Tribolium castaneum: one gene and its partners. The protein of the gene in region 3 purifies or fractionates together with the protein of the main gene of each other region. This does not show direct contact. Links are inferred from orthologs where the notes say so. Each region holds a gene or a part of one and is shown on either strand. Other genes may lie near its edges. The genes, in order: Sirt1, Ada3 and not.

What was found.
Region 1: the proteins of not (region 3) and Sirt1 purify together in Homo sapiens (affinity purification with western blotting; 10 studies listed by BioGRID and IntAct, with this or other methods). This does not show direct contact. The link is inferred for Tribolium castaneum from reciprocal best matches to the Homo sapiens genes USP22 and SIRT1.
Region 2: the proteins of not (region 3) and Ada3 purify together in Homo sapiens (affinity purification with mass spectrometry; 5 studies listed by BioGRID and IntAct, with this or other methods). This does not show direct contact. The link is inferred for Tribolium castaneum from reciprocal best matches to the Homo sapiens genes USP22 and TADA3.

The regions. Positions count from the first base shown.
Region 1 is NC_087394.1:11,915,831-11,919,586, reverse strand, and holds the start of Sirt1 (NAD-dependent protein deacetylase sirtuin-1), read right to left. Parts: upstream 2,589-3,756; coding exon 2,438-2,588; intron 1-2,437. Other genes in the region: eIF1A (eukaryotic translation initiation factor 1A, X-chromosomal), read left to right, coding at 2,800-2,815, 3,043-3,230. UniProt on the Homo sapiens protein: NAD-dependent protein deacetylase that links transcriptional regulation directly to intracellular energetics and participates in the coordination of several separated cellular functions such as cell cycle, response to DNA damage, metabolism, apoptosis and autophagy.
Region 2 is NC_087401.1:17,517,744-17,520,969, reverse strand, and holds Ada3 (transcriptional adapter 3), read right to left. Parts: upstream 2,390-3,226; 5' UTR 2,236-2,389; coding exon 2,058-2,235; intron 2,003-2,057; coding exon 1,614-2,002; intron 1,562-1,613; coding exon 1,392-1,561; intron 1,337-1,391; coding exon 1,233-1,336; intron 1,180-1,232; coding exon 896-1,179; intron 843-895; coding exon 663-842; 3' UTR 588-662; downstream 1-587. Other genes in the region: uncharacterized protein LOC656520, read left to right, coding at 1-124; uncharacterized protein LOC103313297, read right to left, coding at 2,555-2,734, 2,778-2,987, 3,041-3,226. UniProt on the Homo sapiens protein: Functions as a component of the PCAF complex. The PCAF complex is capable of efficiently acetylating histones in a nucleosomal context. The PCAF complex could be considered as the human version of the yeast SAGA complex.
Region 3 is NC_087399.1:1,665,683-1,669,438, forward strand, and holds not (ubiquitin carboxyl-terminal hydrolase nonstop), read right to left. Parts: upstream 2,666-3,756; 5' UTR 2,324-2,665; coding exon 2,159-2,323; intron 2,113-2,158; coding exon 1,606-2,112; intron 1,305-1,605; coding exon 1,039-1,304; intron 986-1,038; coding exon 428-985; intron 382-427; coding exon 339-381; 3' UTR 249-338; downstream 1-248. Other genes in the region: hexosaminidase D, read right to left, coding at 1-3, 48-102, 147-175; pyridoxal-dependent decarboxylase domain-containing protein 1, read left to right, coding at 3,029-3,127, 3,175-3,518, 3,562-3,756. UniProt on the Homo sapiens protein: Deubiquitinase that plays a role in several cellular processes including transcriptional regulation, cell cycle progression or innate immunity.

The DNA of each region.
Region 1 (3,756 bases), on a different chromosome or scaffold from region 3:
TTAAATTTAAGAAAATTATATAAGGTCCATAAAAATCCCAAATGAAGAAAATTACAAACATAGGTAACGTGTAATTTTTCTAGGAAAAAAAAATAAATTCTAATTCACTAAGATCAGGTCAGACACAATATTTGTAGATTTTTCACTACTTTAAAGTTGAAGTTCCTCTCCCACAGGTGATCCATCGTATCAACACTTTACTTATCGAATGTTTATCATAGTATCTCATGTTACAAGAGTTTTAACTTAGTCTGCGTCTTGAGAATTTTGAAATACGCTTTTTGAAATTGATTTTTTTTTTGTAATTTCAATAAATCCATAAATCTGTCTCTTTTGGGGTGATATTATAGGTGTGTTACCTTTGCACGATTTCGCAGTTTCCAAGAAAAAATGTTCAATAAGGTTCTGCCCACATCGACTTACGTCTAAAAATAACTAATTAAACTGAAGAAATTCCCTGAATTACAACAATAAATTAGAAATACAAATTATTGCTTTATTTGTTTTTCTCTAAAAGAATTTTACATCCTTCCAGCATAAATTTTTACCAACAATACCTAACTTAATCTTTTAGCATATATTACATCATTTGTAATATTTGAATCGATTTGTAGTCTGTAGATTTTTTTTTCAATACATGCGATACTACGTATTAATACTTCCAGATCATAAATTTTATTATATTTGTCTCCAAAAATTTCAAATATTTGAGAAGAAAAAATTAATACAAATCACTTTTCCACTCATCTTTCGTTCAAAAAAGATAAACTTTCTTGAAGAATTCACACTGCATCCTTTTTGTTTGCATTAAATTGCATAATAATATGATAGTGTGTACACTGCACAGACCTTAAGATGTGAACTGATCTTAAAGCAAAATGTCAAAAACTGCTTTTTTTAGAAAAATCGAGTCAAATTATTTTAAAATGTGATTTCTTACTTATTAGACGGTGAATAATTTTGCCACAATAAATTATTCAAAAAAAAAAATGTAAAACAAAGGTGTTTGATAAGACTACAAAGAGCTTTCCTATTTAAATTTGGGAAAAAAACTATCAGTCAAAAATTCATTTTTTCACTAAAAACCACCTTTTTTCAAATTGACATCTCTTCTCTTCACATTTGACCACTAATGAAATTTAGCTTCGAGTGCAAGTGCAAGAAGTATTTTAAAATAAAAATTAAGAAAAAATAGAAGATCAAATTCAGAAATTTTATAAACATTAAGATGAAACTAAAAAACTATTTGATTTTTATTATATTCTAATTAAAAAATTACAAAAAAACTAGAGCTCTAACTTTAACAGAAATAAAAAAAATCCTGAATTAAAAAAAATTATTTCACTTGATGTCATTCATCTGTTTTTTTTTTAGAAAAATCGAATTAAAATATTTTAAAATGTGATTTTATACTTATTACCACAAATAACTTGTTTAATAAAAACGTTTATTTTTAAAAAAACCTGAAAAAAAATTCCTAAACACTGACTAATCCTGAATTTATAAAAATACCAATAAATAAATTGTACAAAAAAACAAATGTAAAACAAAATATTTCATGAGACTATGAAGAGCTTACCTAAATCTAAATTTCGGAAAAAAACTAGATATAAAAATTATTTTTTTCCTAAAACCATTTTTTTTAATTAACATCCCTCCTCTTAGCTTAGACTATACATTAAAAATTAAGAAAAAATAGCAGATCTGAAGCAGTCAAATTCAGAAATTTTATAAACATCAAGATAAAACTAAAACGTATTTGATTTTTATTACATTCAAGGCAAGTTCTCAAATTCAAAGAATATAAAATTAAGACAAAAAACATGAGTGAATTTATATAAAAAAATGCTCACTAAAAAAAAACAAGTTCTTTAAGAATTCCCCCACGTGATGAATTGATGCTACCTTAGATTTTCCATTTATCACCATAATTTAATCAACAGATTTGAAAATGTTCCATGCAACACGCGGTTTTGACATAAAAACATAAACTTAACCTCTTTTGCAAACAAGTCAGTCGTAAACTGTCAGTAGTATTCCACCTTTTTTTTCCGACTATTTTTATAGTTTTTGTCCGAAATGGAATATTTTCCACAAGCTTTATGCACAATACCACCAAAAATACACCAAACATAACCCTGACAGAACTCAACTGAAACAAGGTAAATAAAACCACTAAATTTAAAAAAATCATTAAAATTTTATTTCTAATATTTTCAAATATAACTTAACAAAGAAAAACGACTATGTGAAGCGAAACGAACGACAAGCACCCGTTCTGAGTCAAAAATGAATCAACCGCAAATTTTACAAGTTCATCAGTCATTTCGATCCTAGCACCACGCCTACAAAATGTCTGCTAAATCGCCTTTGTTCTCGTCGCCATATTGGATGAGAAATTTTCCCTAAACAAGCAAACATATTTTAGAAATTTTACCTTCGGGGATGTCAATCGGGCCGCCAGCTGATGTGGAATAACTAGAAAAATCGCCCCCATTGCACAATTCACCTATATTCGACTCTCTTAGGTCGAGTTTAATTCGTTTCGCACTGGATTCGTGTTCAGCAACGTCAGGATAGGTATCCATCTTTGACACGAATAAAAATCTTTTCGAGCATCGAGTCGCCAGTGCCGGAGGAATTCCTGCGCGCGCATCCAGCGCCTACCCACAATCCCTTGCGTCGTCTGTGCACCGCCAGATAACAGACAGCAAATTTCTTGTGAAATATTACAAATTATTTCGGCGTTTTTGCAAACTTTTCGGCCCTTTTCCACACCGCCGTGTAGTCGCCCACACAATGCCGAAGAATAAAGGTGAGACTGCTCCGCGCCCCTAACTGCGTATGTTGCCAATTTGCGACATATCGACACCTCGCGACCACACGTTCCGTTTTGACAATTATTGGGGCACATTTTGCAATAAACGGCCCGAAAATTGCCAAAAGTTGTGGACTACAAGTGGGCAAAATGTGCAAATTGTGTCCCCTTGTGGCTAATGTCAAGTTCACATAGTGACGTTTTGTTTTAATATGTCATTCCAGGAAAGGGAGGTAAGAACCGTAGAAGGGGTAAGAACGAAAATGAAACGGAAAAACGTGAGCTGGTCTTCAAGGAAGATGGACAGGAGTATGCACAAGTCACAAAAATGTTGGGGAATGGACGGCTGGAAGCAATGTGCTTTGATGGCGTTAAGAGGTTATGTCACATACGAGGCAAGCTTAGGAAGAAGGTAATTTGCAAGAGCTAAAGTCTGATGTTTTTGCCATTATTCTGTATTTTTTATGGTAATCGACGTAAGTTATACTGAATTTGCGCTTAGGGTCTTGTTACAATAAAAAAATTAAATTGGCCAAATTTTTAGTATGAAGCGTTCTGTGAGGGACAGCTCATTTGAGCTTTTTGGAGTAAAATAAAGTTCAAATTGAGAGTCTGCATAAGGAAAGATATCTGTGTTAAACTGAGTCCCAGCGACAAGAAAACCCACCAAATTCCATTTCTTTTTAACGTTATCTACACATGAAACCTTAATTTGGTTTGTGTATCTTCTGTATCCGAAATGTTATGATTTATTGCGAAATTTGGTCAAAAAACAAAATCACATCTGTACCAATTGCCGGAAGAATTTAGCTGCAAAACATAATTTTGAACTTTTGCAAAGTGTTCTACCTAAAAACCTTTTGAAAAAAATGGTTATTGCATATTGTTTTTTGGAATTAGATTTATTATCATTATTTTAATATGGGAGGTATAATTTG
Region 2 (3,226 bases), on a different chromosome or scaffold from region 3:
CTTAAATGTTGACGTTTTGGCCATTTTGTGCTCGCTGAGATTGAATCGAGGCGGCATGGTACAAACAGCCGAACAATACGAGTTGATACATCGCGTATTGAATTTGTATGTTGACACAATGTAATAGTAATCAAAATTTCAGGACAAAAAAATCCATGATGATAATCATTTGTATAGAATGTAAATGTGATAATTTTGTAGGATTAAGCGATATATTTTTTTTGTTGTTGTTCTGTTGCGTCATATTTATTACGATTTGTTTTTTATATAAATATTTAGGGAAAATCAATTTTAGCCGTTGGTAGTATTCATGTTCGCAATATACTTTTTTTATAGGTTAAGTTCATCTCATCGCACAATTGTGATTGTCAGGTTGGCACTATTGACTCATTCGTTTCATATACCACCAGTGGTGCCAATTTGAATATTCAAAAGAGTGATTTTTTACCAACCAAACGAAACGAAAAAAGCATTTTTTGATGAATATCTCTCCCAAGTACAAATTGATTTATCGGTGTTTTTCAATTATTTAATTAGGAGTGTTAATTAGACAATTGAGGAAAAAGAAAACAACTCTAAACACCAAATACCAGACTAATTTGTAAATTAATGTGTCAAAAATAATAATAATAATAATGTAAGACTTAAAACTGGTGTTTTTTTTATTCCTGCAATTCCGCCAAAGCTTTCTGAAACTTAAACTGCGTTTCCAACAAGACATGTGTCTTCACTTCAAATTCTTTCAAACTTTTTGTAAAGGCGGCTTTATCGAAATCTTCATCCTTGGCCTGCTGGATTTGCTTCTGTTTGGTCATTAACACCTTATTATAAACTTCCAAAACCTGAAATTTTAGGTGTTTTAATTTTGTTACCATGGTAACACCAATCAACAAACTTCGCCATCTACTACATCCAGAGCTGCTTTGATTTCTTGCCGTTTCAAATCTTTGACAACTATAGCTTTCAAACGTTTCAATTCCTCAACATTATACTCATTGACAGCTGTCAATTCTTGTTGACATTTTTTTATTTCTTGTAAAATCTCATCGTCGGGCATTGTTTTAGATAAATCCTCAACACTTAATAATCCTTGTTCGACTAAATCTTTCTTAAGGCGGCGATCCATACATATGGCAGCACGTGGACCACCAGCTGACTTGATTATATTCAAATCGGACGCTTTAAAAGTGAATTAAATGAGTTTGAAGTTACGACAAATGTGATTTTATTACGTTTGAGTTTCCCAGTAACACCCGGAAATGACGTCATCACTTTCTCCTCAATCAAGGCGGCCAATAGGCGTTGAGTTTTCGGGTTTGAAAATGAATCAACCATTCTATTGATTGATTGTAAATTTTTTTGAACTTTATGACTTGATAAAAAATACTTACGCACTCAAACCGTTCTTTTTCAAATCAAGGCCAACTGTTTTAGAGGTTAGCCCCAATTCTTGTTCCACTCCGGTTGCATTATCTGACCACTCATTGGCGTAATATTCGCCCAAATCGGGTATTTTTACATCAATTTCTTGCGAACATTCCTCGATTAATTTATCGAGGAACTAAAATTTTTTTTGTTAATACATAATTATAAAATTGAAAAAATCAATCAACCGTAGCGTGTGAATTCGTAACGGGGGCGCAATAGGGCTCCACAGTCGCCCAAAACTTATCCGAAGTATCATTCTTGGGTAAATTAATTTTGGGCATTTCATGCCTCAAGGGCACATCCACCGGAAGTGGATAATGACGTTTCAGGGGGCGTGCGCCCCCTTTCAAATCACGATACTTGGCCTTATCATCGGGCCGTTTCCGTTTGAGCCCCCCTTTATCATACGATTTGCCCTTTTTGTCTCTTTTTTCCTCAACTCGATCAATCGATTCGATTTCGCCCCTTAAAAACCGGTTACGCACAGCACACGTCGAAATTAACTTCTCAAGGTCGAGTTGAAGTTGATCAAGGTCGTCCATGTTCACTCCATCGTCTTCGGTGCGCCCCAAAACTAAAAACTTGCTCATTAATCAAAAGGGGCAAAACGTTAGGTTAGGGTTGATTACTGGATGAAAAACGGGGCAAAAGCTTCGTGTTGTCGCATTGACGGATCAAAGGGACGGTGTTTATGAAGTTTTCGGTGTCAGGAGGGATGGAGTCGTGACGGGAGGACGAGGGGGCGTCTTTCGCTTTGCCCCCTCGGGGGGCGTTTTTTGACATGAGGTGGCGTTTGGGGTTGTTCATATCACGCTTTAGGCACAAAGAACATGCAAAATGTTAATCATCAATGTTATTTTAGCCAATTTCACACAATTTTGTTGTTTGTTGACAATCGATACATAAAAATTGACACTTGAATTACAGGAAACTGTAAACTAAATCGAACATAAAGGGGGAAAATTTAATACGTGTTTCCGAAACGTAGGGCTTTATTTACTAATCAAGTAGATACACCTGGAGGCACAAATAATTATTAATTGATTACTGGACGCACTGAAACGTGATTAAATATGATTAAGATTTGGGCAGTACCATGTATCAAAAAAAAAACGGTGCAAAATTTTTATTGATTTCGAATTTCTAAAGGCGGGCGATCAAAATGCCGTATATTCCTCGGCATAACCATGTCATGTTGCCACTTGGCCACATCTTTCATGTAATTACAAACGGCCAAAATTAAATTTTCGGGGACTTTCGGCCCGATTCCTGGAACTGGATCCACGAACACATCCTCATACTCAATCTAAAACAATTATAAAAAAAAATTTCCCACTTTTTTTTTCTACTTCTGGCGCTTTTTCCTTGACGGACGGTTCACTTGTCGACGTTTCGTAACTTTTAAGTGACTCATTAGTGAAAATTTCACTCTCAATTCGTGTTTCAAAATGTTCAGGTGCATCAATTTGTGATTGAGTTAAACCAGCTTCAGCTAAAATACTAGCTTTGAATTTCTCAACTTCGTCGTCACTTTCACCCATCATGGCTTCCTGTAATGACTAAACCCGAATTTATTTCGGGGAAAAACCTAGTAGACTAGTCGGTGAATTACCCGAAGTCTTGCCAAATCTTCCATAAGATAAGTGTCTTGTTTCAAATCCTCTTCATCTTTCTTCAATGATTCACTCGGTGCTGATGACATTCGCGTACTTTTCGAAACAAGGTCATCTTCAACCGGAAATTGCGGAATTTTTTCGTCTTCAGCCAACTGTTCCGGAAATTTTTTTTCGGAAACAGC
Region 3 (3,756 bases):
AAACTGAAATTGACGTTTAAAAGTGAGGTTGTGTCAAACAAACATACTTTTTCGAAGTAGCAGAGCTTCGGAGGGGCCCCTTTCAGGTCCAAGTGGATTAATCTGGGGCAAATGGTTAATTGTGGGTCAGGGGGGTTTGTTCTTACCTTTGGGAACCTAGCGTTAAAGCGTCCATTTTTTAACCTCACATTTCACTTGTCAAAGTAAACAAATCAATTAAGGAGGGTGGAATAATAATAAAAAACGGCTATTGAGGTAAAATTTATTACATTTAGCACTTGATAAATTAATCGATGTCACAATAAAATAAATAAAATGTTTAAATTAGGTAAAATCGTTTAGTCGTAATCTAGGACATGCTTGTGGTAAAAGAGTAAATATCTGGAAGTAGAAAATTACGGGGTGTTTACACAACTTTTCGCCTTACCCTTCCGAGTCTAGAACCTCCTTGAGAGTGGCTCTTGTGATGACGTGATCGTCGCATTTGTACCAATAGTCTTGCAACTGTCTGACATAAGCGGTGTAATGACCCACGTTTATGGAGTTGCCAATGTGGTTAATGACGGCAAAGAGCGAGTATCTGTTATCAGAGGGAAAAGGCGAGTCTGTCTTAGACCTGCTCATAAACGGGGTCATATCTAGCATTTCAGGAAACGAAATCGTAGTAGAGATTTTCTTCTCCATCTGCGACGAAATGAGTGACTTTTGTTTGGATTTCGTGTGGGTTTTTACCTCGTTCATGTGCTGAAAGCGTTTTAAATGAAAACTGATAACAATCGGAAGCGTATTCATAGTCAATTGTTTCGTCGATTCCTGCTTTGATTGGCAATTCGAACACATGATTTTCGAATTTTCGCCTAAATGTTCGGCCCTTGTGAACCTCTCTAAACAATCGACAAGTGAGGTAGGTGGCCGTCCGCCAACCGTGACCGGACCCAAATCTAACGAAAAGTCCGAAATTGGATCAATTGTAGTAGAAACACCACTACCAATGCAACAAGTAAAACCACCGGCTCGCTTAAAAATCCCACTACTCACTTGCATTTCTGACAAACAACGTCACTTTGCAACCCCCCGGTAAAAATCTGGTCGATAATGCAGGGGCATCGCGAGTTTTTCCCCACATTCACCGGCTTTAAATCGGGCATTGTCTCGAGACAGTGCTGGTGGAGCACGTCCAGAGTCGCGATGAAAAATTCGTGGGCGTCTTGCTGCTCATAGCCGGCTAAGTGCCGGGCATGCGTCCAGATTAAATGCAAGAGCTCGTGGAGGGCCAAAGGGACGCGAGTTCCGTTATAAAACTCCTAAAAAAAATTACATTTAAATTAAACGAACTGAGAAAAAAGAATAAACATATTTAAAAAATCAAGAACAGTTTACATAATGTGTGTTATCACTGTTTTAGTTAGACTTTTTTGTAGGAAATTTAATTCTTCTTGATCTAAATCAAAAAATAAAATGTTTGCATTATTTTTTGTTCTACCCGCCTGCATTTTTGTTTGCGCCATCTGGCGCCACTAATGGAACTATCCAGGACGGGGACATTTGAGTACGTTTCGTATCCTAACTTATAGTAACCCGTAGCCTGGCCATATACGACCATACCTGGAAAAGCTTGGAGACCTCGCAAACGAGGCACCGTCCCGACATCCCCTTGCAGTTATGCTCCTCTGTGAGGAAGTAGTCGCGCAACAAGGGGGTGTGCATCAGTGCTTGCACTATACAATTCATGAAGCACGTCTGACCTAAATTAAGCAGCCCCCTTAGCCCGATCGTCGAATCGGGCGTAATACAAATCTTCTTCGTCTTGCTCCTCAAATAATCCCTCTCATCAGACGTAGGATTCCACGTGTCGATCTCAAACAGCCGTTTCTTGCAAGTCTTCGACTTCATTTTATTATCGTTCGCAATTGCGTCGATTTCGGAATCGTAGATGTAGTCATGGCATTGGTTGCAGTGCATCTGCCCGTAGGTCAGGTCCATGGACATGGAGTGTTTCTGGCTCTTGGCATGCTCCCGGATGTGCTTGTGGCATCCGAAAAAGACACACTCGAGGCAGGCATGCAGGAAGGGGCCCCGCTTTTTGCACACGCGACAGCGGCTGTTGCACAACTACAATTCCTCTAGTTAGTTTTAGCAAAGCGTGGCCGATTTTTACCTTGGTTTTGAGGCTCTTTGAGGTGGAGTTGACCACGAACACGGCGTGGATCCACTTGAAAGTGTTCTTGTTTTTGCTCGTTTTCTTGTAAGACTGCAAGTGTTGACACCCAACTATGCTCATTTTTTTCGAAAAACGCGGCTTTGTGTGGGATTTATTGCCCATCAACGAGGTTGCCAACGAGATACAGTCGTGGCCTCAAACTATTGGCCCCAAGCCCCGATTTTTACAAAACTAAACGATTGTTTCCATTCACACAATAAAAAGTTTAAAAAATTGGTAAAAATTGTACACAAATCACGATATGACACTGGTGTCCACCTTTGGACAACAGACTGAGATTTACGGCCACATGCCCACAAGCACGATTCGAGAAACGGTGATCATTTTAATACAACAATGAAACGATTGCTGTGGCTTTCGGGTGATTCCCACAACCCGAAAATGTTATTTTGGGTCGATAAGTTTCACGCAATAATTTAATAAATCAATTTTAGGCCATGTCTCCAGTCGAGCGTCAAGTGGTGGCAATAACAGCCAACATGACGCCCACAAAGTGATACTCTAACACAGTTTTGGGTAATAATAGCCCCTTAATGATCACAAAAATGGAATTAGAATTAAAAAATAGTTGGAGTTTAATTCATGACTTGACCCGTGCCTATTTGGCAATCAACTCCGGCAAAGATTATTTTTTCCTAAGGTTGGCAAAGGTATAGTCAGCTGATAACGCACCATTTTAAAAATAAAGCGCCCGCGCTAATCCCCGACATCCTCCATTGCGTCGTATCTCCACGTCCGCATGCAAATAAGCGAGAGCACCCGAAGGCGTACGTCTGCAAAATCTGACGTTTCCGTACACCTGCCACGATGGCTTCTCCGCCGAATGATAAAAACACAGCAAAAAACGAGGTTTCCGTAAATGTAGACATAACGAAAACAAACATGCAAACTCCAACTAGCAAAAACGTAAGTTTGGCCACAATTTCCAGCCCGGTTTTTATCCGGTGTTTCAGAACCAGTTGGGCGAAATCGCAATCGAAGCGTCCGAAATTGTTAGTAGGTTAGAGCAGGTTGCCGAAGGGACAAGCCTGGCCGATGCGGCCTACAACCAGCCGACGGTGTTCCTGGGCCTGGAGCAGAAGCGCACCGAGGAAATCATCCAGATAATCCAGGGCTTGATCAGTGTGGATGAGGACGGGGAGCCGTTGAGTCTGCACAGTCTGGACAACGTGGCCAAGCTGGTGATGGTTTCGCACAGCATTGCGGCGTTTTGCAGCGGGCTGGAGCGCCCCGTCATGCAGAAGCTGAGCACGAGGTTCACCACGGACGCCACGCGCTGGATCAGCCAGATTTTCGGGTAAGAAATTGGGTGAACCCCCGGTATTAATAAAAAATTGAAGTTTTCTCGACTCGTCGTCGTTTTATCACGACGACCACCTCGAGGGGCTGGTCAGAGTGACCAGAATGATGCTACATTACAAGTACCCCCGGTATCTGGAAGACGGTGCTCTGGCCTTTACTGCCTCGCTCCCAACTATTTACAGCAGTGTGGCGAGTCCTTTGGTCGTAGTCCAGCACTTGTGTCGCCAGTTGGG